2 linked regions of the Drosophila melanogaster genome follow. The protein of the gene in region 2 interacts with the protein of the main gene of each other region in a pairwise test. Each region holds a gene or a part of one and is shown on either strand. Other genes may lie near its edges.

What was found.
Region 1: the proteins of dsx (region 2) and CG31740 interact in a two-hybrid assay, tested with the Drosophila melanogaster proteins (2 studies listed by BioGRID).

The regions. Positions count from the first base shown.
Region 1 is NT_033779.5:17,994,458-18,010,194, reverse strand, and holds CG31740 (uncharacterized protein), read right to left. Parts: upstream 1,243-15,737; 5' UTR 1,097-1,242; intron 961-1,096; 5' UTR 888-960; coding exon 702-887; 3' UTR 501-701; downstream 1-500. Other genes in the region: CG42635 (uncharacterized protein), read right to left, coding at 1,369-1,767; CG42634 (uncharacterized protein), read right to left, coding at 1,857-2,201; CG42659 (uncharacterized protein), read right to left, coding at 2,478-2,627; CG5693 (uncharacterized protein), read right to left, coding at 3,194-3,412.
Region 2 is NT_033777.3:7,960,020-7,977,554, forward strand, and holds the start of dsx (doublesex), read right to left. Parts: upstream 7,390-17,535; 5' UTR 6,444-7,389; intron 2,768-6,443; exon of another isoform or gene 2,211-2,767; intron 1,104-2,210; 5' UTR 787-1,103; coding exon 1-786. Other genes in the region: CD98hc (CD98 heavy chain), read right to left, coding at 14,600-14,846, 15,118-16,394, 16,871-17,049. UniProt on the Drosophila melanogaster protein: Controls somatic sexual differentiation. Binds directly and specifically to the FBE (fat body enhancer) of the yolk protein 1 and 2 genes (Yp1 and Yp2).

The sequences.
Region 1 (15,737 bases), on a different chromosome or scaffold from region 2:
AAGCAATGAAAATTCCGACCTACCGCAATAAATTCCGCGGAAAAACAAAGCAAGTGATGCCAAAATAAGAGTGAAATGGCCAGCTCACACACACACATGAATGTAAATGAAGTGGAATCACCACCTCAGAAAAACTCAGGGACACCTCAGACACGGCCCTGTAAATCGCGCTTATCCAAAACACAACATGGCATCAGGAGGCATTGGAGATTCAGTTTCATTTTCATTCAAAGATTGAATAATAGAAGGGGGTGTTCCATCCCTACCCCAACAACCTTTGACCTGACACAATGCTCTACATTCTATGTTTTTGTTCGAGTTGCGCGTTCGAATCGCGACTGCGCAATAAACCTGATGCCCCAAACAGCTGTTCTAGGCAAGACCTAGGACAACATTTGCATCCTTAACTGGAGGCTGGCCATCCACGTTTACATTGACGTAATCCACTTGCCAGGTTGGATCTATTCGGTGTTGAGATATATCACAAAGCAGTTCCTTTTGTACTTTAATTCATTTTATTACTGAACAGCTTATAATAAAAATTCTTTATGTATACGAGAGCTTAGTTGGTTTAGCCCCGGCCAAGGCAAAAAGGAATTCGAACAGCAACATATTTCTCCAGCAGTCTTTTCCAGAAGGTTGATCTTTAAATTGACTTGTTACCGCTTGCTGCCGTATTAATGCCTATGATAGCGGGCGCTTCACCAGCCGCAAGGACACGAGCTGCAGCCACCACAAGGACCACATGGACCACAGCAAGGACTACAGCAACCTCCACAGGGACCACATCCGCAATAGGGAGTTCCTCCCATCAAAGGAGCCAGGCAGCCGGGTGGGCAGGGTCCAACGTAGAAGGGATCGAAGCTGCAGCAAAGCATCAGAACCATCTTGAAAGTTTGGATTTGGTAAAGGACACTGGAATCTCTTCTAAAATCTGCAGGAGGGGCTCAAAAGGTACGGCTGCAACCATTCAAAACGGGGTTTGTTATTAACAAAACATTACCAAATATTTAAAAATTACTATAGGGAACAAAGCAATTTTACAATTTTTAAATTGTATAACTTTTTTATTCAATTTTAACGAACTAGAACGTACCTGGGATTTTTTTTCCTGCTGAAGAAATACGTTGAAGTTAATCCTTGGCTACGAATTTAGAATTTTTGTTCAATTTTTCATATTGTTTTTTTTTGTGTTTTATTTTACGAAAGAGATGTGTTCAGTCCAAGCTGTTCAAAATGAATGAGCTCTCTAGGTTTCGAATCCCACAAAGCCCACAAGATGAGTGAAGTTTATTTCCAAGGCCAACTAGAGAAAACTAAAAATTTCCTTTTTTTTGCTTTCTATTCGACATAGTTGCTGACTAGATCCTACTCCTCTTCGGTTAATTCTGCCGCTGGCGGTGTTTCAGGTTTTACTACTACCGGTTCCGAGTCCTTTTTATCCTTTTCGTCTTCCTTGGAGGAGCCCTCGGAATTATGTTCACTGCCAAACTTAGGAAGCAATGGTCCTACAAAGGCACATGCCTTGCCTCCAATACTTTGTACCACGGAGCAGGCGCCATCCATGCGATCGCCCTCTACTAGAGGAGTTTCGCCCTCGACGGCGGACAGCTGATCCGCCACTGGACCACCGCGCCTCACAAGGTCAGCGATCGGATCACGGGTTTGGTTTAACACCCTGCCACCCACTTCAGTTAACGAACGGGAAACTACCATAAACAGGGCCACTATGCCCGCAACTCCGATGGCCGTGTGAACCATTTCCATATCTTGGGCAAAGGAGCAGGATCTTCTGGAGGATCAGGAGGGTCGATGTCGGATTTTTCGATCGACCACGATGACAAATAATTCTAGGGCTACTCTCCAGCCATCGCCGAGATGGTATTATAGGTCGAACGGGCCAAGTTTCGGATACTTCGCGAAATTTCATTTATCAGGTAGTTAATGTCATCCGAACTGACCACCTGCTCCTGGTCGACATGGTGCTCCGGCGTTGAATCGTTTACAATCAAGACTATTTTACGAACGGGCTGAATCATGCCGGATACATCGATCACGGGCTCCGACACATGGTGATCAACCAGAAATGCCTGATGCATGATGATCACCAATTGGCGGATTACTGGCACCACGCGATCGAGGACGTTGATTGCCATTGGGGCCAGTACGTGGTGTACCACGTGATCCACAGACGAGGACATGACCAAGAGACTTGAATTTTGAATTTAGAAAACTATTTTCACACAATTTGCGACCTGATAAACTAAAATTCCCAGGAGTTCTAATTTGAAATCTAAGCCATTTCGATTGGAATATTTATATTATTTCCCCAGCAATATTCAACAGTTTGGTGACGATGAATCAATTTTATTATTTCTCTACATAGATGTGTGCGAGGCTAATTGGTGTGCAGTTTCAAAGTTCAACTATATTTGTTCCCGCCGTTATTCTTGCATTTTATACAGGTACTCGTCTCGTCAATAGCTGCTATAGCAACGACTGTGCCAGCCACCGGGGGTGTATCCTTTGTAAATGTCGAAGTTGCACGGACATACTGCGCATCTCGGATAGGGGCCAATGTAGAAAGGGTTTATGGCCGGAGTCCAAGGACGACTTAAGTAAACCATTTTCAGCACTCGAAAGAAGTCTGCAAATCTTATTTTATAAATACATCTCCCACATTTTCTCTTTCGAAACTCACCGGAAATGGAAGAGAAAAATGAGAAATTTAAACAAATGTTTGACCAGAACAACACGTTTCGTGCTTGAAATTTGAATGAAGAAAATGCGTATGTACGCTTATGTGTTATTTTGTTGACATTTAAATCAAGAATGCTGGTTTAAATTTATTTGACTTCATTTTAGATAGATCATAAGAAAATGAATTAATTTTATCTGTATTTTTTATCCACAGTTATTTTGTGCTAAAATAGAAAAGAGCTGGTAATTTGAGGTTAATATATATTATTATTGTTTTTATTATTTATAGATATTCATTTTATTTATTTATTATTATTATTAATTTTTTTGAAATATAATGTTACAATATGACGGTTCGATGCCCAGGAGATGATGAGCTAAATGGGTTTAGCTCAAGATGTTTGAAGATATTAGCAACACACAACAAGGTTGTGTGTTCAGCACATCTCCAAAGGACTCCTGGTTCATTTTTGCAGCTTTGCCTTTTTCCCCACTACTTCTGTTCCCGGAGCTTCGGTTCTTTTTGGGCTTTCTGGTCCAGTGGTTGCTTCGCCGCGTCCTTGTTGGATTGTGGGGCGGGATTGCATCGGGGTAGTTGGGACTCCGGGCAAACTCCGCACTCCGGAACCGTGCAGTGGCCCTCCTCCAAGCAATCGGGGTCACAGCAGGGCGGATCGGGTCCAATGTAGCCCGGATTAAATATGCAAGGCATGCTGCAGCACCTCCACTGAAAACGAAGGTCGAGGCAGATGGCAGTGGCAAATTGGGTCCCACTTTATAGATTTTGTGAATTTACATAGATGCTAACTGGGTGCAATTTTCGGGCCGAGTGAGGCTCATAAATGTTCTCATTTCCATGGGTATTGAAACACAATGGAACGGGTAACTAGATGCCCGAGTTGCGCAAATCTCTAAACAAAGCTAGTTAATTTCGTACTAGAATCGATGCGAATAGCTCCCACATTGAACTCTATCTCCCAAAATCCGAATCAAAGTCCAATCGCCCTTAAAATCACCGGTTAGTGCGTGCAGAACGCTTATAATTATTTCATAATCGGGCAACACTTCAGTTTTATGGTGACAAAAGCCAGCGGAAAGATAACTGCAACTGCAGGCCATCGAAACTGGGCCACAAATGGCTGCAGGCACAAATATGGAATTTAAGTTGAAATTAATGAATAATTAAGCTGCTTTGGGCAGACGCTCGCAGCGGAAGTACAGCATTTGCATAGCTAACACAATGAACTACATACGGCCGGACAAGACTTGGCCGTTCATAAATTAGATATGCAAATGTAAATGCGAATGGAAAACTAACGGCAATTCCTTTGTCAATTAATCAATCAATCAACGCAGCCGCTCGCTGCGATCCAGAAAGCGATGCGGAAATCACTTGTCCCACATATGTACCTCTGCCCCCGCCCAGAAACTCCATCCATCGCCATTTCCCCCTGGCCACTGCATCTAGCTGCATCTGGCTGCATCTCCATTCATCTACATCACGCATGCCAATTTGCCTCAGCACGGTTTTTGATTGCCCGCTAAGTTCGGAGCGTTGTGAGCCCCCATCGATGCTTATCCCCCGGTTTTAAGGCGATGGCAGAGTCATTAGCATCAAAGGGCCATGGTGATATGACCAGCGCTCCTGGCAGCTCATCTGCACTGTGGTCTTTGCAGTGACCCAAAGAGTTTGAACCGAAGTGCTTTGACTTGGGTTAATTTGTGGGCTTTCAGCTTGGAAAGTATAAAAGTTTCACATGCATTGTTCAAGCACACAAAATACCGACAAAAAGACCGAAAAGGGTTTATTTTAATTAAATTGGATGTGATAAATCGAAAATAGTGATGTTTATGATTGAGGTAGATAGCATAATTTTAGTCAACACTTTAAGCTTATCATTATCATTAAAATATAAATAATTTTTCGGATTCGACCCACTGTGCAGCGTTGTCGGCTTTCAATGTCGCCGGCTGCAGCCATCAAAGTCGTGTGCACTATTTGTGTAATTTATATTCAAAGCGTAACGCGGTGCGTCGACTGCGTGTGTAGGTGGGTGGGGAAATGGGCGGTAAGTGGGTGTTGGGGCGGAGTGCTAGGGGGACGGTTCACTTGGTGGTTTTGGGACCGGTCACTCCGAGCAAACGGACTCTAGTGCCACTGAACTAAGTGCAGTCACGCGAACTGCTTTTAAGTGGCATAAGCAGAAGAACCCAATTCCTGCATAACCAATGAAGTTAAATATATTAGCTTACTCATTTTATTGCTCAGTTCTATAGACTAATAGTTTGAAACTAATGTGCAAAATCAATTAATTATTAAGAGATTCGAATGAGAAGCTCCTGTAACAACACATAACTCTCAGTGTAACCCTTAGATAGAACCCATCCACACTGCGACATTGTCTATCCGACTTCCGTTTGTCGGACGTAGTTCTATTACTTCTTGGATTCCGTTTCTGTTTTTAATAACTCAAGTTCGAACCCAAGTAGGCACACTTGTGCCGTCGTTACTGTTTGAGAAATGTATTGGAGGCCTGACAAAGTGACCGGAAGATGATACTGCAATAAAAAATGAGCACCCACGCAGCGACATGGAACACCATAGAGTGTTTGGCTTGGAAATAGAAAACCAAGTGCTGGAAATGAACATGAACCATGTTTTATATGCTCTGTGAGTTGTTGGATTTTCACTACTCGTAGTTTTTCTTCTTTTTCGTTAGCCATTTATTTACAAATGAACAATATTTATGGCCTCTTTTTGAAAGAGTTGCGCGGTCTGTGTGTATATATTTTGGGTTCCTATGCGATGGGGCCAGACTTCCGTCACAGCCAAAACATGGAAACGATCTGTTCATACTGAACATACATAGTTGTGTCTATTATTTTGTGGTTTTATTTCGGTTTTATGCGCGGAGCGTACCAAACATCGATTATGAATTACAAACTCTAAACGGATGGCAATCAGAAATGGTTTTGCTGAATAAATAATTCTAATTTGCCAGCAATTATGGGCTGTCAAATACGATTGTCCACTGATATGTTTTCGATGGTCGCGGAAAGTGTGAACTGAAGAACAATTAATAAATTTATAGTTTTGTGGTTACCGGAATGAAGTTTAAATGAATAACATTTTGGGTTCGGTTGACGGATTTGTCTAAGCTCATTACAATTGAGTTTTGCTTATGCTATCCAAAAAATGAGGTTTCAAACTTTATTGTATACTCTTAAAAACAGACTGGCTTGGGCATGAATTCTTATATGTTAATCCGGCAAAATATCCATGGATACGAAATCTAGATCTTCGAAAGCCAACTGGATTTATGGCTGTATAAGTAGCTAAAATTATTCCCAGCCTCTTATTACATCTAGCAAGTTGCAATTAGTGTTGTCACGGGAAGAATTTATGAGGAGCAATTGCAGAGGCTAAAACAGGAACCCTAAACGACGGCACTTAAGCGATCATAACTTTGCCCATGATAAATCGAACTGGAATAGCCTGCAGAAATTCCAGATTCTGGCCATGCAAAGCAATTGGACAAGTGGACAAAGGCGGTTACAAAGGCGAGGAAGTGGCCCAAAGAACCTCGAGCAGCTGCTGCCGCTGAAAGGCGAGACCGCTGAATGAATTGGGCTGTCGTTGTCTTGGCAATCAGCGCTACCGGGCATAGAAAGTTAACACACCCGAAACCGGCTTCGGTTTCAGTCGATGCAGCCAGTTGAATTTGCCAGTTGATGCACTGCAAAAATCTGCTCTCTTCTATACATAACTGGATATAGAACATCTATACATAAAAATCCATTTAATACAAAGCTAGATCAGTTTTAAGGCGTATTTAATAAATTTAAAAATTAATTAAATTTATAGAACAATTCTTTACTAGTCTATCTCTAGTTTTCTCAGTGCTCCAAAGTTGCTGCTTGCCAGTCACAAGTGGCAGGTTGCCAGTTGTCGCTGCCGCAAGAAACTTGCCTCCATACTGCGGCGGATGTGAGTTCCTGGGGTAGCAAGAGGAGCAACTGGTGGAGAGGGGCTTCTAAGCGTTTAGCTTGGCTTTTGCCTCGGTTCGCTGGCCCCGCGGAGCGCATCCAACTTCGAATTGCCGCAATTGCGTGTCGACCACAATCTTAACCAGCTGAAGAAGCGACTGAAGGAGGCGAAAAACTTTGAGCCAACAAGGATACACTGGAAAAGAATTATTCAAAGTTACATATTTCGAGAGATGTTAGAAAAAAGAATATTGTCATTGGGAAAAACCAAAATTATTCTATTTACTTTCTTTATAATATTAAAAATGTTGCTTCATAAAAGTTTGCTCTTTAGAATTACCTTTAATTTAAAAGAAATGTGGGCTTTCAGTGTCAACTTGAGACTTTAAGGGAAACGGGGTGTTCGGTCAGGTTCCGTCCCCACTTGAAGCTGTTTTCTATATTCTCCTGCCTGCCGCTGTCTGTTTCCTTTTTGCTTTTAATGAATAAGTTGGAACACCTGTTCGTCGTTCGTCTCCTGTCGAGATCTCCGTCCGTCCGAGTGTCTTGGAGCTCTGGTTCTGCTGCTCAAGTGTGACGGCGCTTGTGTGTTCTATCTCTGGATCGGACTTGGTCATTGTTAATACCCCTTGACCCAGGGTGCATTCGGCTGACAAGTAAACTGAGCAAATTTGTGCTAAAGTTAAATTTTGGAAAGATAGAATGAAAAGAAAAATATTCTAAAATAACTAAATAATAATTTTTAATAATAAAGCAGCACAAATTGCAGTCAAAACGCCATAATGTCAGACTAATTCTAGATCATTTTTCTTGTGAGTCGTAAGAATCGTAACATTTTTATTCCCGCGGAACTGGCTTGTCTGCATTTGATGCTTTAATTATCCAGTTGTTTGCCGAGAAAAGCAAATAGAGTCAGCCAAAGCTGAAGCTGAAACCAAAGACTCAAGACTTAAGTCAATAAATAACCTGTTTGAATATCATTACGCATAAATCTGAGCCAATGCATGGCCCCTGTAATCTTCATTCATTAAATCGGGCTCACCTGAAATCGAGAGCCGAGACATTGACACCCGAGGAAAAGGATGTAATGGGAGGGGGGGGGGGGGGGGTGGTGAATGGGAGTCAATGCCACGACAAGTGCCGGCCACGTCAAGTGGCAAAATTAAAACCAATTTCCCAGGGACTCTGCCGTATCACTTGCTCATCAGGAAAAAATAAGAGAACGAAGAAGTGAAGAGTCCTCCACACACGAGTGCTGCTGCTGCAATGACGTTGGAAGGGAAACAATGCGAAAGGCGGCCCAAGAGCACAACGAGATAATTGTAATGAAGAAATTCGCAGCATAATTGATGGAGGAGGGGCTCCGCAATTCACAGTAGCCCGGGAAGTTCAGATACTTGAGCTCTGATGATGCATCGACAGTCGTGTATGCCCCATCACCCCATCATATGGGGCCCCTTGGCCGCACCCACATTTTCAGCCGCCCTGAATGCAAATTGCATTTCTCGTTCGAGAGCTAAAAGTAATTTCGATTGCAATTCTTTCTTTGCCACTGGCTGCTGTTGTAAGTGAATTTTATATGAAGGTGGCTCGATTTATATGGCATTACGTAAGATTCAATTTTCCAAAGCTCGTACAGTGAGAAAAAATAAAATGCTAATGTGCACACATTACCGATTAAATGTCTGCATAACACCGTTTCTACAAACATTAATTACGCTGGGCAAACAAAATATGATATATTTTAGTCGTACAAAGCAGAAGCAAAAAAAGTCAGTTTGGCGTTTAAACTTTGTTTAATAAATAAACAAGCTGATAGTTATATAATACACAAAATGAAATATTTGTTATTTGCTTTCAAAAGTGTGAGATTAATTAAGTTTGATGTATTCTTTTTTTTGTAAGCATACGCAGTGCAATTCCCACTTATTTCCCACTTGTTAATGAGGCTTTCCAAGATATTTAGTAATTGAAGGATTTGCCAGTGGTAATTAAAGAGGCGTGCAGCTAATTCAATGTCGGAAATCAAAGCACTTTTACTGTCGCACTCTCCTTGGACAATTATGTGGCACGACATGAGCTCACGGCTCAGCAAGTTTTGTGGCAAATAATTTTCTTCTGTCTGCAGTTTTCATCAGTATTTTTTCTATATATAAGTACTACTTGTATTTATATTTGAGTTCCATTTTGCTGCCACTGCAGACATTTTTAATAAGTTGCCTGGCAGCCGTTGCACGTCTCACTTCGGCAACAACAAACAGTGCAGCTGCCAAGTTGAAAATGAAATTCGTGGCACGAATAGATTTTCAAACATATATGAGAACGAAAGAGAGAGCACGTCGGCAATGACAGAAATTCGAAAATGAAGCAATTTACTTGTATATTTGATACAATCCCCCGTTCTCGGACAGTTGTCAGCGATCTGGGAACGCGAATCGGAATGGGAAAGTGGAAAATGGGGCAGCACTGGCCAGTTGGCGGGCTTATTAAGTGGTTTCCCCAGCCGGACAACCACCCTTCGTGGTTGGATAATTGGCAAGCATAGTTCAGGCCCTCAATGGATTCCAGCTTAAATACCAGCTTTAATGGCCAGCAATTATCGAGTGTTTGTTGCTTATAATTGCATACAAGTAGGAGAAAGTAATAGATTATAATCATCACTTATTTATCAGTGGAAATTATTTTATATTTTTTCGAACAGAGCAGAACCAATTAAAATATTTTCAGTACAATAAGAGAGCAATTTATGCATGGTTATGGATTTTAGGTTATGGATCCAATAAACCAAAACGATAGAAAACGGTTTCCGCCCACGCCACTAAAACTAACCTAACATGTTGGGCCTTTCCTATTTGGTGACTATTAAAGTAGATGACATCCAGTTGAAAATTTTGTCACTAAGAGAAGAGAAGTGAACCCTTTAGACCGCCACGAGCCAAACTTGTTGAAAGTTTCGGCTGCATGGCCCAAGAAACCAATAAAGAAAACTAAGGGAAAAGTGCCGCAAAAGCTGCCATAGACCTACACTGCTATATACATCTGCACCATATACACTATATATACCTTGGGCAATATGGCGGAAGGTTGGCTTAATGGCTCGATGCTGGGGACCGGGCCTTAAAGGATGGCACAAATAATGAAAGCGCGACGCTAATACTACGTGCAAAATGGTTCTGGCTGCACACGCTGCGTATACGTTACGTTGGCGGGCTTATGCAATGCAATTTTCATTTACATAAATTTTGATGTTGTCTCTGCGAATTGCTCGGTGTGCGGGCGTGTTGGTCCCCGAAAAATTAAACAACACAAGTTTAGCAGGCAAACTTTTACCCCGCACACAGTCTTTTATGTCAATTTGCTGGGAAATTACCTTTTTGTTAATAGTGGAAGACGCGAACTTCCCGGCGGAGCAAACATTAAAAGTAATTCAAATGTTGTAGCGCCACAAACGTTGCAAGCAGCTTAGTGTAGGGCAACAATAAATGCTTATTTAACTAATTTTGCAACACGTATGCAAATATTTACAATGCAACAGCTGCATATATAGAGAGGGCCGACTTCAAAATTTGGTCTAGATAGATAGAACAAATATTTTCAAAGTACTTTTTTTTTTTAATGTAAAAAAAAAAAAACAAGAAAAAAACGCTATAGCCGAGTTTGACGACTGTCAGATTACCCTTTAGTCAGCTAGTAAGAGTGCGGAAAAGAAATTCGAAAGTTATTTTTTAATATCTTTAGCCGTTGGCCAGAAAAATAAGAAAATACTCTAAATTCTAATTTGGGATAATGCTTAATGCGATTTGAAGGCTGTATGCTTTCTTAGTTTCCTAAAACCGATCATACTGGTATTCCGATAAAAAAAATATATACTATCGTAGCATAAATGGTTGAAAACGAATGTTTCACTATAGTAATTAATGTTCTTTATTCTTTAATAATTTGTAAGCCCATTAAACAGTACAGTAACCCACATATCCCATAGGCAACCCTCGCTTTTGTGGCTTGCCTGGTAAGTTGGGATGTCTGGCAAACGACTGCCATTAAAGCCTGTTGTTTAGTTTTTAGCTACTTCCCACGTGAGTTTCCCATTTTCACAGCGCCCACCTCAACAGAAGCCGGAAAACCGCGTGTCGGCTGCGGGTGTGAAAAATAAGAAGAAACCTGGTGGGTGGTGGGGAAAACTTTGCGTCTGACACTTGGGGGTAACACTTAAACGTTTTGCTTTTATGGACACTTTTGAGCTGATTAATTGCCAGCTTCGACTTAATGCCTAATTAGCGTTTGTTTGTCCGCCGATCAACTGAAGACCCGCCATCAACACCTGACATGGGCGCGAAATTTCACACTTTCGATGAGGAAATGCAAACAGCGAACGAGGCACTTAATTAATCTTTGCTTACTCACAGAAGGAAATTATATTAAGGCTGGCCAAGCGGAGAAATAATCGAATATTTCGATTGGTTCAATTTTTTCAGCACATAAAAGCCATGCTTGATGGGGAAATTGTGTGTTTAAGCTTCTGGCAGGACTTCGCTTAAGCCTCCTCCTTGATCGCGTATACGCCATGTTGTGCCTTTGTAAATAACTGAAGCCTATTAAATGTCTTTGCTGGACACATTTAATTAACAGACACGAACAACTTATAATTGCCACTCACTGAACGTTGCAGTGAGGTAATTGTTTCTTTTCAAGACTGAAATACTGAAAGGAATACTGACTGAGTGACCGCCTGGCGTTGCGTGCGAATATAAATATTTTGCAGGCAGGAATATTAATTACCGCAACATGCGATTTTCCACCGCTCTCGAAAGGCAACATGCCATTAAGGGTTTCTGGCTGCCCGAGAGTGGGAAATGCGCTTGTCAGTTTATGTCGGAGAATAATTAAAAAGCCACACCGACAGTTTCGACCTTTGCATTTTTAAAAACCAATTCGAGCCCTCCGTCCAGGGTCACTAATCAACAAAAACTATTTATGGACAGCCTCCGCTTGTAGTGGATTTCCAGGTCAAGGCCAAAGAAACTTGGCCAGATTGTGCTGCCAACAAACAGCGAAACACACAGACATTAGAAAGTAACTAACTAAATGTCAAAAAATAACCATGCTTACGTACTAATTATAGTTTGCTCGGCTTCAGCTTGAGCCTAGTTCATATATATTTATGGCTTATTGCAGCCTACTTCCAGGCGTCGGTTGTCCATAAAAATTAAATAAAAATAAAATAATCAAAGCAGCACCATTCCGTAGTGCAAACTGTGCTGTTTACTTTAATAATTTTAATTAAAAAGAGGGCTCTTTTGCAAATAAGGAGCCCGGCCCAAAAGGACCGCAATCAAATGGCCAAGTGTCCAATTCGCGGCTCATTGCCATAAAAGGACTCTCTACGTTTGAGGACGTGCACTGTTGACTGCAGAAGGCCCGAATCGAAATCAAAATCAAAACTAATTAAAAACCGCAACCACTCGAATGCAAACACGTCGTCTCTGTCTATGACTATGCCTAAAATCCATATGTACCTGGCGTATTTGTGCGGATTTCTAACCCCATAGCTAATGAAGCGTTCGTGTTGATTATAAAAAGGCAACCTCGTTTGCCATGCACAATAGTAGAAAACGCACAGAGTTTTATCCAAATGCAAGTGTTTAATTAAAAGGCTCTGCTAATTAGTATGTGGTCAGATATTTCGTCCACAAAGTGGGCTTAATGCTCAAATTGGCTTCAAACTAATTATTGCCTCTATAGCAATACAAAGATAAAAACAATATAAATTTATCTATTAAGGACCGAGAGCAGCCAACCGAAATATATATGAAGTTAATATTTTATAAAAAATAAAATCATGATATATATTTTTTTAAGCAGTACCAAATGCCATACTCCGTTTGAATATTATAAAGCAGAGTTGGTGAGAATCTTGAGCTCACTTAAATATGAAATTTAGCAACTTATAATTAAGTCTTCGTTTTTAAATGTTCGGAATCCGAACTTCGGATGTCGACTTTAGGCTAAAAAAAAGAGGTTTTGCATAAGTTGGCCCGATATTCGCCGCCAAAATTCCAATAAACATATTGTGCGATAATACCAGCCCAAATCGACGGGTTGCCAACGGGCCCATTTCAATGCCAATTTCCCTTTCATGCACAACTTGGCAGAGCTTATTGCTTTTCACTCTTCATTGCGCATAAATTTAGCATGTACATGTACGCACGAGGCCAGGGACCTTTTCCCGTATCCCCAGTATTTTTTTTGGACTCAGTTTGCTTTATTCTTTTTTATGAGATTTTTTTCTACCCTCATTAGAGCTACACCAACTTCAGCCCCAAATGCAGGTAATCTGCATACAAAGCGCCAGCTCAGCTGCATTGCACACTTTCTGGCGGCGAACACGTTGCACCCAAGGAGATATTGCCATAATAGAGACAGCGAAAAAATAGCTGGAAAAACGGAGAGAAAGCGGAAAATGTTGAGGGGAAACCATAACAGCGTTTAAGGCAAACTAAATGAGACCCACGTAACGGTAGTGAGCATGAAATTATGCATATGTGGGCCGGCGCTTTTCCCACCGCTTTTCCACTTTTCCCGCTGCGGCAACGTAAAGCATTGCAAACGGAAATAATTCAAGTGCAATGCAAATCATGGCCCACCACGCTCAGGTAATTGTGTGCTTACCCAATGAGGAGCGGTAGCAGGATGTCCTGGCAATGGCATTGCCAATGCCAGGAGCAGAGCAGTGCGCACGGAAAACGGAAGACGCGCAAACTGACAGACGGACAAGCAGACAGACAAAAGGACGGATGCATGGAGAAAGCGCTCTCCCCGGAGAAAGTGTTTAATCGAAAGGAGCAAACACTTTGCTGGGCTCGAATTCAGTAGTGTGCCAACGAATTTCCAGGCCGAAAAAACTGCATGAAACAAAATGTGATTTTTAAAGATACATGGGAAATTTATCATAAAATATTTAAATATATTATAACAATGAGCTTAGTTCCGATCAAGCATAATGATTAAAAATATTCATTAAGGCAATATGTAAATTTCACCTTTAAAGTGGTCTAACTTTGAATGGGCACTTGAGAACACAATCTTTTTTGCTTCAATCGCATTGCAATCATCAATTGGGCTGCCGGCGTGCCCTTCATTGACTTGGCATAATAAATCGACAAAAATCCGAATGCATCGCTCAAATATTGGAGCGTTTATATATGCGATCCGAAGGCCCCCGACTTCCGCAGACCAACCTTATCTAAACGCTGCAGTTGGAGGCGAGCAAACTTTGTTCCATTTAATTCAATTCAATCCTTGAGAGTTCAACGAGTGCGAGGGAAGAAAACGGAAACGGCGAAGGAGCGAGCATTTATTTGGAAAATAAATAAATAGACAGGCCAAAGGATGGGGGGGAGCCAAGAGATAGTGAAGTATAAACAAACCGACAGCCGGACAAACAAACTTTTCCGAGAGCATAAAAATGGTGTAAAAAGTACTGCGCCAAGGAAAATCGAAAATGCGCCACATTTGCCCAGCCAGAACATCTATCAAATTTTGCGTTTATTTTCACCCATTCAGGGAAATCAAATGAAATGTGTGAACCAAACCAGATAAAACTACTGAAGAAATACATATACGTGTATAAAATGTAGTTGAAATCCTATTTCCATGTCCGTGTATCCTTTGGCTCGGTGGCAGGTCCTTTTCTTAAGTGGATTCCAATGGCAGCTTTTCGACTTTCGGTGATTTGTAAAAGGGGTCTCTGAATAATCGCCGAACTGACCTTTAAAATGGAAACCAGTCATAGGTGAATGGGAAAAATCTCAGCAGACCAAAAAGTATCATTGTCAGAAGATTTCATTTTATTTCATTTAATTTCCTCTCAGTGCTCATCATTTACAATAATGTCTACGTAAAATTAACATAAATTTGCGATTTTCCAGTAGCTTAGGCGAGTTTTTCACAACAATCAGTGCTGTGGCATAGAGTCAGGCAAAGAAATAAAAAGACAAAGGAAAAGCTGGCCAAGTAGGATGAATAAAAAAACGCGAAATATGCTAAAGTTGACAGCTTAGGGCCTTTTTGCGTCTTGGTGGCGTCTGAAGAATGGAAACATCCTCAAGCTGTCAGGATTTATGTTCTTAAGGTAAAGTGACCTGGCTAAAATTGAATCGGTAATCAGAAAGTGCAACGTGTTTAATGAGAAAAGCCGTTAAACCGAATCCTTGAGCAACAATTGAAATTCAATTTATCAGCACCTTGGAGCAGATTCCAAATAAAACCCCTGAAGCATCTTTTCTCCAATTGAAAACCAATTTCAATCGAAGATTATTCATACAGCTAAGTGACAAATTTGTTTACGTTTAAGCATGTGGAAAATGCAAAACTCAAGCTCAATGCTCATATCAAAATTGTTTGCCGTAGCCCAACTTTAAGTGCTTAACGGCAAGCTCAATAAATTTCTCAACTTACAGCAAAATAAGTTTTGCCAAGAGCCCGGAAAGTTTCCTGTTCTTTTTTTTTTATCCCCTTTCGAAAGAGAAAATTATTTTGAGTGTGCTACGAACAGAATTACCAAATTTGCCTCTCCGGCAAACAAACGAAAAACGTGAGGATCTGGAAATCACTCTATACTCCTATACTATAGTACACATACAGTTGGCAGTTATATGTAACTACATTGTAACGACTGCCCTGGGAATCCCCCTACGTACCATAATCTTCATGTCTGTTTGCAACTGTTTGCGCTGACAGCTCGGGTTGGTTTTCTGGGCTGTCTTTTTTGGGTGGGTTCCTTCTCGGGATTGCGTTAGGATGCACTCCCCTTTGTTCGCTTGCAGCGTGAAAATTGCACAAGATTGCATGTGCTCCTGCTCCGAAAATATTTATATTTATAATATTTTTTGCAGCTGTCATTTGGCCGTGTATCTGCTGTGTGTTGGGGTCTGTGTTTTTTATTCGTGTTTTTGGGCTAACACAAATTACGGTTTGCGGAGAGTGGCTGAGTGGCGGCATCGCCTGCGGTTGGCAGGGGCTAATAAATCAGAAAATATAAAATTCTATGT
Region 2 (17,535 bases):
CGCATTGCTGGAACTGGGTGCTCCACCGCCGGAGCTGCTGGTGGCCGGACCCACACTGCCACCATGGTCGCTGTGCGGCGGAGATCGCAGGGCGGTCTGCGTGGCCGGTTGCTGATGCGGATGCTGGTGGTGGTTCTGGTGGTGGTGGTGGTGCGAGTGTGGGTGGCTTTGGTGCTGGTGCTGAGCCACCGAGGCGGCTGCAGCAGCTGCCATGTGGACGTGGTGCGCGTGGGCGTGACCGTGGATGCTGGAAGCGGCCGTGCTGGAGCCACCCAGATGGGAGGCTGGAGCCGACGGAGCTGCTGCTGCGGCCGCCGCTGCCTGCTGGTGGTGCAGGACATGTCCGTGATGCGAGTGGTGTCCTCCGTGTGCGTGATGGGCGTGCACATGGTGGGCGTGGACATGAGCGGGAGCTGCGACATGATGGTGATGACTCAGGAGGGTCGTGGCCGCCGGATTGGCAGGCGGCACCTCGTGCATGTGCAGCGCCCGCTGCTCATCCTGCGCCTGGGCTCGCCTCAAGGCCGTTTGCAGAGCCATCACCCGCTGGCGGTCCGCCGTCAGTCGGCACTTCTCGCACGTGCAGTAGCGGAACTTGCAGTACCGCTTGTGTCCCTTTAGGGTGATCTTTAGGCCATGATTGCGGCAGCGGGCGCAGTTCGGTGGTGTCCTCGGCGAAATCGAGCTGCCGCTGGAACTGGAGGCTCCGCCACAGACGTCGTTCTTTGAGTCGATCATGTCCGAGTCGGACATCGTGTCGCTATTCCAGTTCTCCTCCGAAACCATGATTCCAGCTTCTGATATCCTATGTAAATGTTCGAGCGTCTAAGTTTATGTAACCGTGCTTTTATTATGCTATTTTTATTAGCATTTTCTGTGTCTATTAACTGTCTTTTGCTGTTTAATTCACTGGGGTTTAAATTATTTAAGATTTTTTCAATGAGAGTTATATTGTTAGGGATTATATGCCTTTATTGCAATTTAGTCTTGCATAAATTATTGGTAAGCTTAAGTTATTGGGTAAGTCCGAAGAGTATTGGAAAATATTTCGACTTTAGGTCTCACTTTTAAATTTTGCTGCTTTCTTTTGATTTTAGAAGCACCTGAAAAGAGAAAGTTCAAATTTTTGTTTAATACGAGATAATTGTCATGTCTTAGTCCATATGCACTCCACTCTTATTCAGCTGATGCAATTCCAATGCATCCATATACTCTAAACAAGAGGCACAAATGTTTATAAACGATTGAGGAATTTAGTTTAGCCATATTTTTTGCATGCTTGGCTAGTGGTAGCAAAAAATTTACATTTGTATTGGTAACAATAGAAAATGTTTGCCATATTTTCGCGTACACTTCACTCTGGAATTTTTTTAAAAACAAGACCACATGTTAAAACTTCGTTTTTATTGGCCATCGGACATCGCATGTTATATGGCAATAAAGTATGAAAAATCATTTAGATTCGATCAACCACGCCCCTTTACATTGCTTGGACTCGTATTGGATTTCAGAAACAACTCGAAGGCGGAGTCAAACGCGTAGATACATTGTATTGATAGAGTAGTGAATTTGTCCCGGTGTCATATAATACTATATAATACTGTCTCAAACAGAAACGACGGATGCGCAAATAGTTAATGGGAGGAGGTACTGGAATTATGGTCGACTTTTGACTCTTTAAAATGTCTACACATTAATTTTCCAAGTGTCTTTTTCGTTTGAGAGATGTGTAAAAAATTTCTCAGATACATTTACGTAATACGGTTAATTATGAATCGTAAAATAAAGTATAATATCTATGAGCAAAAGTTAATATGAAAAACATTTATAATTTTTAAAAGTTAAGGTAAATTTATTGCCGAAATTTGCCTATAAATTTCTAAAAAATTAAAATTTATTTACTAGAAAATTTTTGTATAATCATATAACGTTTAATACAAAAAAGTCGTTGGATAAAAACTGTCCAAAAAATTATTCCCCTACTTCAATGGGTTACGCGAATTTTTCGAATTCTTTATCCTTTTAATAATGTTTAGCAATGAGTAACCAATTTTTTATAAATAAAAGCTCATATAGTTAAAACATGTTTTATTATTATGCTCGCAATAATGCACGTACTTTAATTTACAATTAATGCATTTATATTTATTTTCGAGATCATTTGATCATTCAAAATAGAGTAAATTACAACTTAAAAACATTTTATTTACCTGTTTTACGTGTATTTTAAAAGACTTTATATTTAAGAGTCAAAATACTTTTAATGATATTTGAAAATACGTTATATATTAGTAATAACTTTATATTAAGAGCTGGATTTATGTACTTTTAAGGTTTTTAAATTATGGGTAAGAATATGCCGGATTACTTTTGATGGATTAGAATAATAATTGGTATGTTTAGCTTTTGTTGATTTCACACATAACACTTGCTTTCCACAATTCCAATTATACAGTCACTTTCAGCTGTATGTTTCAAAATATCAATTAATAGTCGTCACACAACAAACAAAAAATCACACAGAAAGTGTTGCACGATCTCAACTGACTTGCAAAAGCCGCCGGTAAAACGCGCGACTGAAGAATCCGATTGTAGTCCAATTAAGCGACTGATTCAGCACCGATAGCAACGTGCAAAAATCAATATTCATAGGGCCAATCAAATACAAATCTGCTCTTTTAATCCGCACAACTTCTAAAAAACGTTCCGCGCGAGTCGCGAGCCGAGCTTTTTGCTTCTGCTGCTGCTGACCGATCTGAAATCTTTGGCATGCACAAGGCAACTCACATTGGGCCGCAAGACGCGGATGCAAAGAACTCAAAAGCGCCGAGCGAATGCGTCAGTATTGGTGCCCGGCCCGCGGATGTGCGATGGTGTGTGTGTGCGCCAGTTGGCTGGTGTTTGTGCGATGTTTGCCTGTGTTTGCGTGGAAGCGGGCACCGCCAACGAAACGGAACCGAAAATCGCATCGAGAGAGCAAGAGCAGCGCACCAAACTGAGCCACAGTGGGCCGAAAGTCCTTGATAATCCTGCGAGTTTGGACGGATGCTTGAGTAACGCTGGGCTTCCAATTTTATTTATTTTATTTATTTTTTTAGTATTACGTTTTCTTCATATTTTAAAAGAAACTATTTATTTCTTGAATTTGTTGGATTTCTTGAAGTTGGATTTATTTAATTCATTGGTCTAAAATAGCTTTAACAAGGGACCAAGGAAGTAACAAATCGTATTATGGTCTCTTCAAATTACCAAAGGAACCATTCATTACTTGAATTTAGGATTTATTCTATGTTACCAGTTTTCAAAAATCGTCGTCTTTTAAGTTTAACGTGGATCGAAAAGAGTTTTTCTCCTGAACTCCCAAGACTGTAACTGTGAAACACATGAAAACATAAGTAAAAGTTCAGAAAATATCTTTTTATATGTAGGAGGCTTCAATATTTGTGAATAAAGCCCTATGATTTGGCTCCACTGTGCAGCGTCGACGTTGCGTGCATTTGGAGAAATGTGGGGGCTGCACACCAATACACCATACACCATACTGGCACATGCAGCAAACACACACACACTCGCGCAGACAAACGGACGGACTAGTACATAGGCAGCCTCACACACATTGGCTGGCGTTGTTGTTGTCGATTCGTTGGTGTCGCTGCTTTCCCTGCACTTGTGAATGTTGGAGTGTGTTGTGATGCCGGTTGCAGTCGCCTTGCAACTTGTTTGTGTTCGAGTTGCAGTGCGCTCGACGTAGTCTTAGTTTCGCCTTCCGCCTCTTAATTGCTTTTTTGCATTTCTGCTTGCCCGCTTTGCGCTGCGAATTTTATTGCATTTGTTTTGCTTAGTTTTTCGTTCTAAAGGGCGTGTGAGTGATGTGGATATTTGTGGACGGTACTCCGGTATAATGGTCTTCTAGAGGCTTGTGCAACTACCTAACAAAGGAGCTCCAATCATTTATATACAGTCAGTCAGTCGATAACCACTACATACGAGGAAATGGTTTCAAGTGGGCTATTGGAAATGGGTTTTAGAGGTATGGCATTGAAATATAGTATATGTATATACTTCTTATCTAACTAGGTTGGAAATAAAAGTGCAATTCGTGGCATTTCTATTACTCTTTTAACTTATGTATGTGCGTAAATATATTATATACATATATACATATGATATATAACAATTTTAGAAAGATATTAAAATATAATAACAATTAATGGAAAAGAGGAATTCTAAAAAACATTTTTTTTAATTTAATGGGTTTACTCAAACTTAAAGAACCAAAATATTGTTACCTGCTTAAATAAGTTAAGCCTATAAATATGTTGATACTCGTAAATCGATAAATGGCCCTCTAAAGCACAAAAATAAAAAAAGCTTTACATCAATCAATTACATATCAATAATAAAAAAACCAAATAATATAAGTAATATAAGTAAAAAGTATACATGGGAAGAATGTGGTTAATATTTCTATATTATATAGATAGGGAATATAAGATTCTTCTACACTTCTTGTCCACTTTCTCCACACCTGCTGGCGTGTTTGATTCGTGTTTAATCTAATTTGCACTTAGTTTGACATTATGGTGACTCATTGAACTTGCCTATGCACACAGATTCACACTCAAAATGTTTGACGATTGATTAGAACCTAATGAACGAAAGATAGGGAGAAATATATGTGACATAGACGAAAGCCAGTATCGATGAGAATTTTAATCTATTAGCTAGGTGACATGTAGTGTGAGCGTTTGTCTGTCTCAATTTTCGTTTGCTGTAATGACTTAATTTCGGAGTCTAAAGAGTTAATACCCTGTATTTAAATGGAGGGTAAATTGAGCATGAACGATGTGCTGATAACGGGTCTCACATTCGTGCTAGCACCAGATACCCGCCCCCTTCTTCCACCGCCTCCCGCTGGCCACGGCAAAATGTTGTTATTTTGCCTGTGTGTTTAAAAACTGCACAAGATTGCTTATCTTGCATGTCGCCTCTAATTTGTATGAGCTGAGAGACCCGCAGAGAAATAATTCCTCCGAAGAGCCACTTTAAGAGAAAGACCCTGCTGGCTATCAGTTTTCAATATTTGTGTTTGGTGGAAATAATGACAAATATAAGCAGGGAAACAGTGGTCAAAGTTGCCAAAGGAAAAGCGGATTAAATTGATTACGGGCGAGCATAAAAAATGTGCAGCTTGCGCATGTATGCTCAATTAATTTGTCTAAAGCGGAAGAGATCACGATAAGAACCCACTTCAGGTTATTAATGGGCCAAGGACAGCTCGGCGTTATAAATGGCAAAAGCACCTTAAGTCGATTATATGATAATTGCAAGTGGGGTGCAGCTTAAAAAGTTGAGTACAGATCATTATAACTGTGCACTAAGAAAAATGCATTTACAGGTATTTTATATTTGTATATATTCTTGGGAAAATGTACCAAGCTCAGATTTATATTATACTAAAATATTCGTCTTGCTAATATGGTTTAATAACTTACTTAATATAAATCTATGAGTAAAAAGTCTGCATGTTTGCTGAGGAGTCAAACGGCATGCTAGGTTCTTATACCTTTTTTTTTAAGACTACAGACAGGTGTACTCGATCTTGCCATTTGCGTCATCCGTCTTCATGAAAGTCGAGATTTCGTGAGTGAAAGCAAGCTGCAGTTTCTACTAATGATCTCTTACGCCCACTAAAATATGAGTTTTAACTTAGCAAGGCTAACTATGTTATTTCGACTACAAATGACAAGAATAATAGCCAAAAGAAATGAATAATTATCCCCAAGATAACACAAAATATTAAAGGTAAACTGTCCTTTCGCGCTATACACAATGAGCATTGGCAAAAATTTAAGTTCTAATTTACATATATTTTTTATAATTGCAGCACTCGTGAATAATCGATGGTAAGCTTTAAAATTAACAAGAAACGCCTTCGCTTCAACTTTAATTTGAATAAAAATATTCAGCACGTGTTTATCGTTTTAAGCCAGTTGGTTTCCGTATTTGTCATTTGCATTTTCCTCATAACCACTTAGACCTTGGTCCAATTTGCCTTATATGTATGCAGTCATCTAGGATAGCCGATCGCAAACGACAATGGCAATGGCCTACGCTATCCCAATCTTAGAAACTAATGCGGGAGTCTCATAGTGTGGCTGTAAAACGCGACCTGTTGCTCGTTTCCTGTTTAATTTGGAAGTCAGACAATAGCCTGAACCCCTGGCTCCCCCCCATTCAGCAGTCATACCGCCAGTTGTAGATGGCAATCGCTGAGCGTACCTGCTGCTATCGCCATTAAGCCTTGTACACACGAGCATTTATGTCAGGCAATTACAAGGCAGTTTGCAACGCCCCCAAATGCCGGGCAAAAAGGTGGCAAAACGGAGCGGAGTGGTGGCACATTTTGGCCGCAGAGCGCTCGTAACTCATCGTTCACTTACCAGGTACAATGCCAATTGCATGCACTCGCTAGAGTATCTCCAGGTCCACTACTAGACCACTAGCAGTATATGTATCTGTATCTGCATCTGCGATCTGCCTCCGCGAGGTGTGCTTTGCTCTTGGTTATGCAAGCAAAGTGAGAGAATATAGCACTAGCACTCGGCGAACTCGATGAGATACGGGGAGTCCGATCGGCTGGGTACGAGACGGTCAGGAGTGCTTCGTGGACCGAGAGTGAGAGTGTGAAGCCGGTAAAAATTTATTTCTTTTATTTGTTATCTTAAACCGTACAAGCTGTAGCCGCAAACGACTTTGTTTAGCATGGCACTCGCGGCTCGATCTGGTTCCCTGTAGGTCAACGCATTTTAGAGATATTTTCGGACCTCGCACAGCAACTAAAAACTATCGCACAGAATTTTGTACCGAATCCGCTCCAGTTCTTTTCACTTCAGCTTGAGATTGTGATTTCGAGCACGGAACGCGGACGGCGCGAGACGCCAACGCGACATGCACGACCTGCAAAGGACGATCGATGCCAGCAAACTGGTTGCGGCCACAAAGCTAAAGCTCCCCGTGCACGATACTAACACTCGGACCAGTACCAGTCCGACTAGCAGACCAAAAGACAGCGGACAGATACACGGACATTCAGGCGGACGGGCGGACCTAAAACTGAGCATGTGTTTCTGGCACAGAGACGGGCCCACCGACTGGCGACGCAACGCTCTTGCTATTTGTATTTGCACTCTGGTTGCTGCACCGCGAAAAAAGAAACGAGTGCGAGCATCCAACCTGCTCGACTGCTGGATGCACTGCACATCAACTGGGAGAAAGCAAATTGGTTTGGTACCAGATATGGATACCCTTATTTGACCGTTTTCATTGTAAACCCTTAACTATGCTCTTTTCCATAAGTAAACCATGCTAAAAATAACATAATTTAAACACAATTCTTACAATATGAACTATGAACTATAAAAAAGTATTGCAAACTATTAAATCGTATGTAATATGAGCTAAATTCGCCGCGAAAAATATAGGTTCCGCACTGCGGATACTTAATTCTCCTTACCTGCGTTGCATACTTTTAAGGGCTAATTTCCGCTAATATCAGCCAAATAAAATGTATTTTAAAAAATTATGTATTTGAACGGAAAATGTTTTAAAATATTCATTACTTCTGTGTTGCTATTTAATATGTGAAATACGAAAAACGGTCAATTATTTTAAATACTAAGTAAATAGTTTTTAAACAGAAACATTTATACGATAGAAGGGCATTTCTTTCATCGGTTCCCACGATTTTTAGCAAACTCATAAGCTCGAAGCAACGTTGGTATGTGAAGAACTCAAACGAAAGCATCTTGGGCAACAGAGAGTTACGGAGAGAAACGGGTCTGCGAGAGTGTAAAGTGCATTTGCCCCATTAATGGGGAGCATAAAACATCGAAGACGTGCTCTTCCTCTCTGAGCGATTCTCTCTTGAAGTTCGCGTGTTTTTTTGCGAATCTCTGCGAGAAGCTCGAGTGGAGCAACTTTGTTGCCGTACATTGACGTCTCCCGCCTGCATGTGCCGATCGTAAATTTGCACTCTGGTCGCTCTCTCTCTCTCTTCCGTTCTCTTTCCGCGTGGCGCGAGAAGAAGAAGCGCCAGATATGGGGAGCATCGAATCGGGTTTGGGCGTCTAGCCGACGATATAGGTCGAACCACTCAGCTGGGTTTCGGCCTGCGCCGCGTATTTATGCCACCTTTAGACGCAGCGATTTGCGTGTGTCGCACTCGCATTTATCACATTGAAAGGTCCCCTTTCATCGTCAGCCGTTATATTAGTCAGGATCGTTTATACAGTACGGCGGAGATAATTTTGCCGAAGCTCGGCTCCATTAAAAGATACTTCCCTCAGGCGATGCACGCAACTCCCAAAAAGGTAACCAAAAATGGTCGAGAGTTCGATTTTTGGGCAGTGAATCGATTTCGAAAGGGCCTTCGGTACTTCAGTAGTTTCCCATTGGTGACCAAATTGTAGGGGAATGAATGGCTCAGCGATCAGAAAACATTAAGATAATACTCATTAATTAACCGTTTTTGATTCTCGTTTAGTGTTTCAGAGACAAAAGTTATTAATTTAATATTTAAATAAATGAAGTGATAAAGTGACTTAAATTTAATGAATTTATGTAATTATTTTGACTTGCTCATACAAAAATTGAATTTAAAGAAAATTACTTACTTATTATATTAACTATCAATATCATCGAGGTAATGTGAAAACTTAATATAATTGCATACTAGGGTACTACAACATATTATTTAAAAAATGTTTACGAAAGTGAGAGCGGAAGGCTTTGTCATTGATTTGCATGAAACTGTATATATTGCATAGGCAAGGGGATACATTTTTCATCCAAATCCGATTTACATCTTCACCAATTGATCCCGTGCCGATTGTAGAACGATAAAATTCACATAGCTTTAAAGGCGCATTTCTTGCACCATTTCTTGTACCTTGGATCGCACAAATTTTAGCCCTTTTTATGGCGGAGTGTCGAAAGAGCTTGGCTGGGGGCATCTGCATTTGCAATCTCATAAATCAATTAGCAAAGAGCGGCGCGGGAAGAGTATCTCGCGGATACGCATCCGAATCGAAACTCGTTTGGCCGAGTGCGCTCTCAAAAAACGCCAACAAACTTGGGGCAGAACGGCAAACAACAAACACTCGGGCGGTCAGAAAAAATGCAAATTGCTAAGGAAATATTTATTTATGATCTGCTCTCTTGCTCCCAGTTCCACTCTCTGCATCTGACAGATACTCTTTTTTCCTTGTAGGACCTTTGCGACCCCCGCATCGATCATCAGCGTTCAGTGTGTTTTATTTTTAACAACTCCACACTCACCACAACCGACGCATCGGTGGCAATTGCAAACATTTATACAAATTGACGTTTAGCTGTCGCAGTTGTCACCTCGAAAGCCGCACCAAAGATACACGACACAGCGACGACATCGGGGAATGCTGCCAAGTGCTGGGCGCAGAATTCTCCGGATGACCCGGCAGCCAGATAAAGGTAATCCAAGTTGCCAACCGCAGTCTGCCTCCGCAGACACCTCACCCCGCTGCCTACCATTGCAATCGCAATTCCCCGCGAGCGACTCGTGTTCGTGTTTTATAATTGTTATGGCCATTCTACAAGTTGTTGTACATTGTTAGCGACTCGGAAGGAGGTCTTTCGGCTTAGTTTGCGGTAGTGGGTAGATAAGTACACTGAGAAAAATTGCATCTACTTTGAATGTATTACTTTAGGTCGAAAGTGGCGGAAGAAGTTATTACCATAGAATATTTTTAGAATTTTATAACCAAACTTTCCTTGAATTACCATATTTTTTAATGAATCATGCTTTTGAAAAAGAGTAATAGCAATTTGTATTCAAATGAAAAATAAGGAATATTTCATTTTAGTTTATAAATCATATTTACCAGAGATATCACAATTTTTGCGTACAACCATAAAAATCCTCACTATATCGCCAATTTTTTCTCCTGTTTAACTGGGTAGCCAGTCGAGTTGCTTAGGCATGCGAATCGTACACAAGTCTGGCGCCCAGATCGCAAATGTATATCAACCGCTGTCAGTTTGCATTTCCACCGAACGGATCGGGTGAATATGTACACGAAGTCAAAACTGCTTCCGTGAAATTGTTAAAGTTGCTATTCAAGATTAATGGGGAAATTTTCGGAGTTCATGTAAAACAATTTTGATTACACCACACTTAACTAAACAAGTGGATGGTTAAATTCCACAGAAAAGAGCACTTGTGCAGCCCTAATCGGATTTTCAAATAATGTTTTCAAGCTATCCTTGTTATAGTTAATTATTTTGTTTAAATACACAGCAGTAAGTAAATTGTTTTAACTTACGAAACATCTCAATTAAAATGCATTTCAAAATTTTAAATTGCGGTCTTAAAGATTTGTGTGTTTATCAGTTTTGGGCCGGCGTCGGGAAAGGCTCGCCATCCTCGTCCTCATCGCTTGCTTTTTGATCTCACTTCTTTGGGCTTTTAACCTGGCTAATTTTCAGCTCCCCCCTCTCGTTCGATTGGTGGGAAATTTGAGATGTTTTTGAAGCCGAGCAAATTGGTAGCTTAATGACAAATGGGGTGCCAAAAAACGTGTTTTATGTTCATAACCAAGATACGCAGAGTTATTTAAAGCAGTCAGGCACAAGATTCCGTCAGGCACACCAAAAGGAGGAGCAAGAACGGAGCAGTCCTCGACAGCGATGGCAATCTGCATATAGAACACAACCAAAGGACAAACCTTTTAACCGACCAGCGGGCGGAATCCGTGCGGGGAGAGGGTCCGATGTTCCAGGAAGGGGTTAAGGGGTCTCGAGCCGAGAGTAATTTACGCTTGCATGCAAATTGAAAAACAGTCGAGAGCAGGCACTGGACATTGGGGGATCCTGGGGTGGGATAAGTTCCGGACTGGACCGAGCAGAGCTGATTGAGCGCCGGGATGATGCATTTTAAAACAAATTGGCACAGTTTGTGAGAGGTGGCCAGTTGCTGTCGGTCTGGGTCTGGGCTTGGGTCTGGTGTGTCGGTGGTGTTGTGTTGTTCGTGGCGTGTTTGTCACTCAATTAGATGCAACTCATTTAGACGCTCTTGCATTTGGCCGGCATTTGTGTGCACAAAATGTTAATCAAAGCCTGATGGGATTTTTTAGGCCAACTAATGATGCCATGCTGTGATGAGGCTGGCGCAGGGAATGCTCATTGGTCATTGGGTGGGTTCCGTTCTGCGCACAGACATATTGATGACAGTCGCTCAATTAATATGCAAAATTTATTCATGGGAAAGTTCAAAACAAACAGAAATACGCACCAGCAACATAGAGCTGAAAAAGTATGGGGCGCAAGAAAAAAGGGAGTTGGCTTTTCCGATAAAAAATCAATACAAATTAGCCGACTCATTTGGCTGTTTTTTTTTTTCTGCCCATCGAATTGAGTTGTTGACACTGGTGCGTATTCGCCCCATAATCCGTTGTAAGCCCTTCAAAGGAACCCTAAGCTGATATCGTGACACCTAATAAATGTGCCAGCAAAGGTTTTAATCGTAGAAATAGTTCAATTTGGGGTGACTTGCACTACATTGTATTTAAATATCATATTATTATATATATTAACTACGTAGGCTGTATTTAATATAATTACGAAATTTGCATTAACACAAAGTAAGAGCTCGGCGTTCGGCAATTAATAAAGCAATTACACTGATCATGCAACATAAAACATGGCATTATCGCTCATGATTACTTGTTTATTATAGAAAATAAAGTAAGTGAAATATGTGCAGATCGTGACAAAAGCTATTATAGTCGAATATTAAAGTTCTTACTGGGCTATTATAATATATTACAACAGCAAGTACATGTGCACCATTTAAGAACGTGATAGTCGAGTGTGTGGTCTTTAAAAATCCCGCTACCTAATTTTCCCTACTTTATTAGTTGCATTTTGAAAAGGGATAGTGCGATAAAATAAGTGATACTAATGATACTTATCCATGTACAAAAGGTTGTTTAAAAAAGTTTTTTATATTAATATACATATAAAACATCCATAGCCTTAAGCACACTTTCCCAAATACAAAATGTTAATCCTACAAAACATCTATGACCTTCAGTGTAAAAAAATGTATATCCGTCACAACCACAGATTGTCAGGGGGAGCAATTAACCCTTTCATCATCATTCGCAAGGCCGAAGCCAGGATACAAGTGAAAACTTTATTAAAAACCACTTTACGCATTCCCCTGCGCATTTGGTGACATCGCAGCAGATGTGTTGCACATTGCAATTAAATCAGTGGTCAGCCGGAGTCGACCTGTCCTGAAGGGTTGGTGCTGCACTTGATGACTGCCTGATGGAAAAGTTGTAGCGACAAAATAATTTCGCAGCGCACAAGGCCAGGTCCAAAGTGTTGGCAGGGATGGTGGTGGGTGTTAAGTACATATGTGTGTGGGAAGGGGCGGAATACCGGTCGAGAAGTTTGCAGTTCCCAGATGATGATGGTGATGATGATTATGATGTGGACGATGATGATGACCTGCGCAACAATAGTTTGCATCTCGGAGATACCCAAAATGAAGTTGTTCTGCACGGTAGTCGAGTTTTCTTGTTATTGTAGCTGGCTTGCCGCAATCAACTGCACTGCATGTTGCGGTTCCTCGAACAAGTCGCCTTTTCCTGCATCAGCATGCTGGTGTTTGTGTATCTAATCACATTAGCACGTGCGCATATCCTTTTGGCCTTTTGGTGATACACATGCATAAGTGGCGAGGAGGTTTGTGGAGAGAGCTCTTGCTCCCCAGGCTGCCATTCAAAGCGAGGACTGTGCAAACTAAAAACATTTTGGCCGCTTTGTTTTTGGCTCATTTCGCTTGTCGATTTTGATTATTTGTCTTTGGCAGCCCACACATCGCACATACTTTTGTTTTGCCAGCTCGCCCCAACTATTTGTATCTCAAAGTTGGCCCACACACGTATGCCAAATGCATTCGCTGTTTTCTTTGAGGTCTTTAAACTTTTCCACAAAGGCCAAATAGTTCTGCTCCTCTTCAGTGTGGTATGACATTTAAGCAGGAGAGATGCATTTTGACCAACTTGTTTAAGAATGTCAAATTAGAAAATTGTGTAGTGTTGATGTTGTTGTAGTGTCAAGTCCACAAACGCACACAAGACCTTTGAATTTGAATTTTGATTATACGTTACATAAAGTTGCCATTCTGGCGAAAACTGGCGTTGCCAGAAACTGGATGTTGCCAGACCGATATTTAAAACATTGTTAAATGTTAATATACTTAAATATATATTTTAATGTTAGGCCCATTGAATTTAATCCAAACCAAAGACACTAGAATAACAAGATGCGTAACGGCCATACATTGGTTTGGCACTATGCAGCCACTTTTTTGGTGACGGCCAAAATTACTCTCTTTCGGCTCACTCCCGCTGAGAGCGTAAGAAATCTAAAAATATAATTTGCTTGCTTGTGTGAGTAAAAACAAGAGACGAGAACGCGTATAAGTGTGCGTGTTGTGCTAGAAGACGATTTTCGGGCCGAAATCAATTCTGATCGAAGAAACGAATTTACATGGTACATATTAGGGTAGTTTTTGCCAATTTCCTAGCAATATGATAAAATAAAAAAATTTTTAAAAATTCGCGCCCTGAATATTATAATTTTAAAGCTTTTTAAATTTGTTTGTTAAAATCGCCGCTCGAATTAGCTACCGTTTACACATTTATATTTATGTTTAATTCTAATTTGTCTCTCATCTGACAATTTTTTAAAAGCGAAATATTTTTTTTGAAACACTTTTAATGTTAATGTTACATCATATTAAGTCAAATGATTTAATAAATATACTAAATAATTAAATATGCAATTAAATTAAATTGCAAAAGTAATATCAAAGACAATAGAATTATTCTAGTGTCTTTGCTTTGTTCATATCTTGAGGCACGAAGTGCGGACACAAGCACTCAACAATTGCCTTATTAATTTTTCACACGCCGCAACATGAATACTCTAATGACAAATATTCTTATATAAAGTCATTTTTGAAATTTATTTATCAAAAATAATATAGATTTAAAGCCAAAGAACTTCTAAAGTGAAGGGCATATTTTGTCAAATTTACAATGCATGTGAATACGTGTGCACACATACTGATGTCTGCTATCACTTTGTGCGTTGAAAAGAGCTGTTCGCTGTAGCGCTCTTCGCTCTCTCGCTCTCTAACAAAAATTCGAGAGAGCCTGGAGCCACCTCTAGAGCCACGGCCAAAAAATCGTGTGCCAAAAAATCGTATGGCGTTACGCATCTTGTTATTCTAGGGTCTTTGTCCAAACTAATATGCATTAAAACACAAGTTTATATTAAATGCAAGCAAATATTGTATTTATTTCTTAGCAAGCGCATTTAACAAGCAAGCAAGTCTAAAAAGTTCTCAGCGAATAAGTTTTTAATTTTGTTTGGCGGCTTTAAATCTCAACGGTTAACAAAGCGAGTTACTTTTTTATACAATTTCTGTATATATGCCATTATGCGATATTGTTTATTTTGGTGGATAGTTACAGGTACTACCACATTACTCCGCCTTCACTGGCACATAGGTCAGGATAATGCTGGAGTGCGGGGCCACCTTGAGATCCTTGAGATTCACGCGTCCAGCATGAGCAACCTTTCCGGAGTTATCCATGTTATTGTTGTACTGCTCGCTGAAATAGGACACCGTCATCTTGTCCGGCAGATTGTCTGGGATAGTAAAGTTGCTCGCCTGCGGCAGTTCGGTGGGATTGAAGATGACAAAGTAGCCAGGGTTTCCAGACTTGATCCTGTGGAAAAAACATAAAATGGGTTTAAAAAAAAAACAAAAAGATAACTGAAATCTTTTAACTACATAATAACACAACTAATAAATTAAGCATAGGTTATAGTAGGATTGAATATAAATGAATTCAGAAATATCGAAAATTAAAATACTAATATATAATATATAGGGACACTTGGTTTAAGTTTTTACCTCTGCCTTCATGTGGCAAGCATTAACGAATTATACAAAAGTTAGTGACAAATACAATCGAGAAAGTAAACAACTTCAATTACCTGGAGAAGGCGACCAGTGGATCGGCCTGGTAGAGATTAAGATTTCCATGCATGTAGGATGCAGTCTTGCGCAGAGAGGTGATCTGCCTGTAGGTCTCCTCGGTAACGTTTTGATAAGCCACAGCATCCACAGCCACCACGGGAACACCGGGCAGCAGGGATAGGAACATGGCCAGAGCAGATGGATCCTGTGGGGTGTCGACATAGACGTCCGCTAAGTTCCACTGCAGCCAGCTGTCCGTGCCCGATTGGGCGAGTGTGTTATCCAGTTCCTTCTGTAGCGACGTGTCTGGCTTAGATTTGCTGAGCACCTTTACAAAGTTTCCGTACATAGGCAGATCGATGCCGTATGCTCCAGAATCTCCGCTCAACTGGTACACCTGTGGTTCCATGACATCTTCGGCAACCGAGAAGAAAGCCTCGTCGGAGGCATTCTTCACGATGCTCAGGTAATCATAGAGCACATCGCCCAGGCCGGATAGGAAAGTTGTTTGTCTGTGGGAGTAGAAGCCATATTCATTGGGTCCCAGGCTGAAGTCCTTCGGCGATGACGAGATCTGCTCATCCTCGAGGCTATCGAATAGCGCAAAGAACTTGGTATTCTTCAGGCGGAAGCCTCGAACGCCCAATGCCACCAGATGCTTTAGGACTGCTCCGAACTCGTTCCTAATGATGGTACTGTTCATCTTGAGGTCGTAGTACCCGTCTTCGAACTGGGAGAGCACATAGTTGTCTCCAACCTTTTCCCAGGCGCTGCGATTGCCGCCCACCTTGAGCCAGTTGTTGGGAAGAGCTTTACCGCCGCTCACCCAGACAAAGGCCGATCTCTTCTCCGGGTTTGCAATGGCATCCTGCACAAGCTGCGAGTTCTTTGCCGCGTAGTTGGGCGTCAGGTCAAGTATAACCCTGGTATCGCTGCCCTGGTACAGAGCCACCAAATGCTTGATCTTCTCCTCCACCTCCGGCTTCTTCACGTCGTAGGTCAGAGCAGCTGGAAGCTCATAAATCGCGCCAGCGGAAACCAGTTTTTTGGCGACCTGAACATCCTCTGGCCTACAGGTCTCAACGCTGGCGAACTTGGCATGTGGTCCACGCTTGTACCATGGAAGTGGCTGCGGAGCAGCGCACTTGGGGGCTCCGATGATGATTAGGATGGCGCCCACCAGCATGCCCACCCAAATGGCCCAGAAGCACACGAAGAAGATCCAGCGGAGTCGCACCCAGAAAGGGTCGTTGGCGTACTTCATGAGCTCCTCCTTGCTCATACCAGTGAAGGCCTGTAATGAAAAGAAATAATTATTAAAAGTACTATTTTATAAAATAATAAAATGCGTCAGGGTAAAAGCAGAAAGTAGAGACTAATTACATATTAGTAATATGAAAAACGAGTATTTCATAACAATAAAACTGCACAAATAAATTTCAATAATTGCGAATACACATGTATGTTACACACATATATACACATATATATATATGCACATGTGCACCCACATATTAATACATATGTATATTTATTGAATGACAAGCCAAGGTCATTAACCGGAGAACGAAATTCAACTAAGTGTAACTTGAATTCTAGCATAACCACATGCACACATACATATGTATGTACATAACTAGCGATTTTGTTTAAATTATTTAAGTTGCGCAGCTTTTGAAATAACGGTCTAACCAATGGCGTTTACATATATTATTTTCCTTTCTCATTTTTAAATTAATTTTCAAAAATGTATGTATGTTTAATACTCACGGGCTTGCCTCCGTTTACGGTTCCGATGTCGATCTTGGCATCTCCGTTCTGGTGATCGCCCTTGATGAACTTAACCTCATCCCGACGCTCGGCCAGCTTATCCTCCACTCCGTTGGAGCCCAGCATCTGTTCGTCGGCGCCATCGGCGTGGGCCGCCTTCTCATCCTGGACCATGTCGACTAAAAAGTAAATGATTCAACAATGATTCAATTTGCTCTAATCAGTTTCAATTAAGCGTAAGCACGTTAATCTCAAGCCAACAGCCTTTCTCTGGGGAACCGAGCTGGTTTTGTAAGGTTAAGTCGAAATCAGAAGCCACATTCCTCATGATTCACAGGAGAAGGGAAGTTTTCCGTGTGTGGGATTTTCTCTGGAAGAACTTGCTGACGTCACAGGATGCGAGCCACGCTTCGAGTTTGCGCTTCATTGGAAAATGGACCTGTGGCTTGGTCTAAAATCGATATCGCTTTCCGTATACTCTTCTTATCTCCCGCGTACTGATAAGCACACGCCCACCACGACCCCAGCCACTCATGAAAAATACACATATACACTTTTAAATATAGATACTTAGATACATTTTCATGAGTGCTTCCAGTGAAAATTCGACGCATTGTTACGTCAGCCATACATTTTTCCCCAGCTGTAGACACAATTTCTTTGTT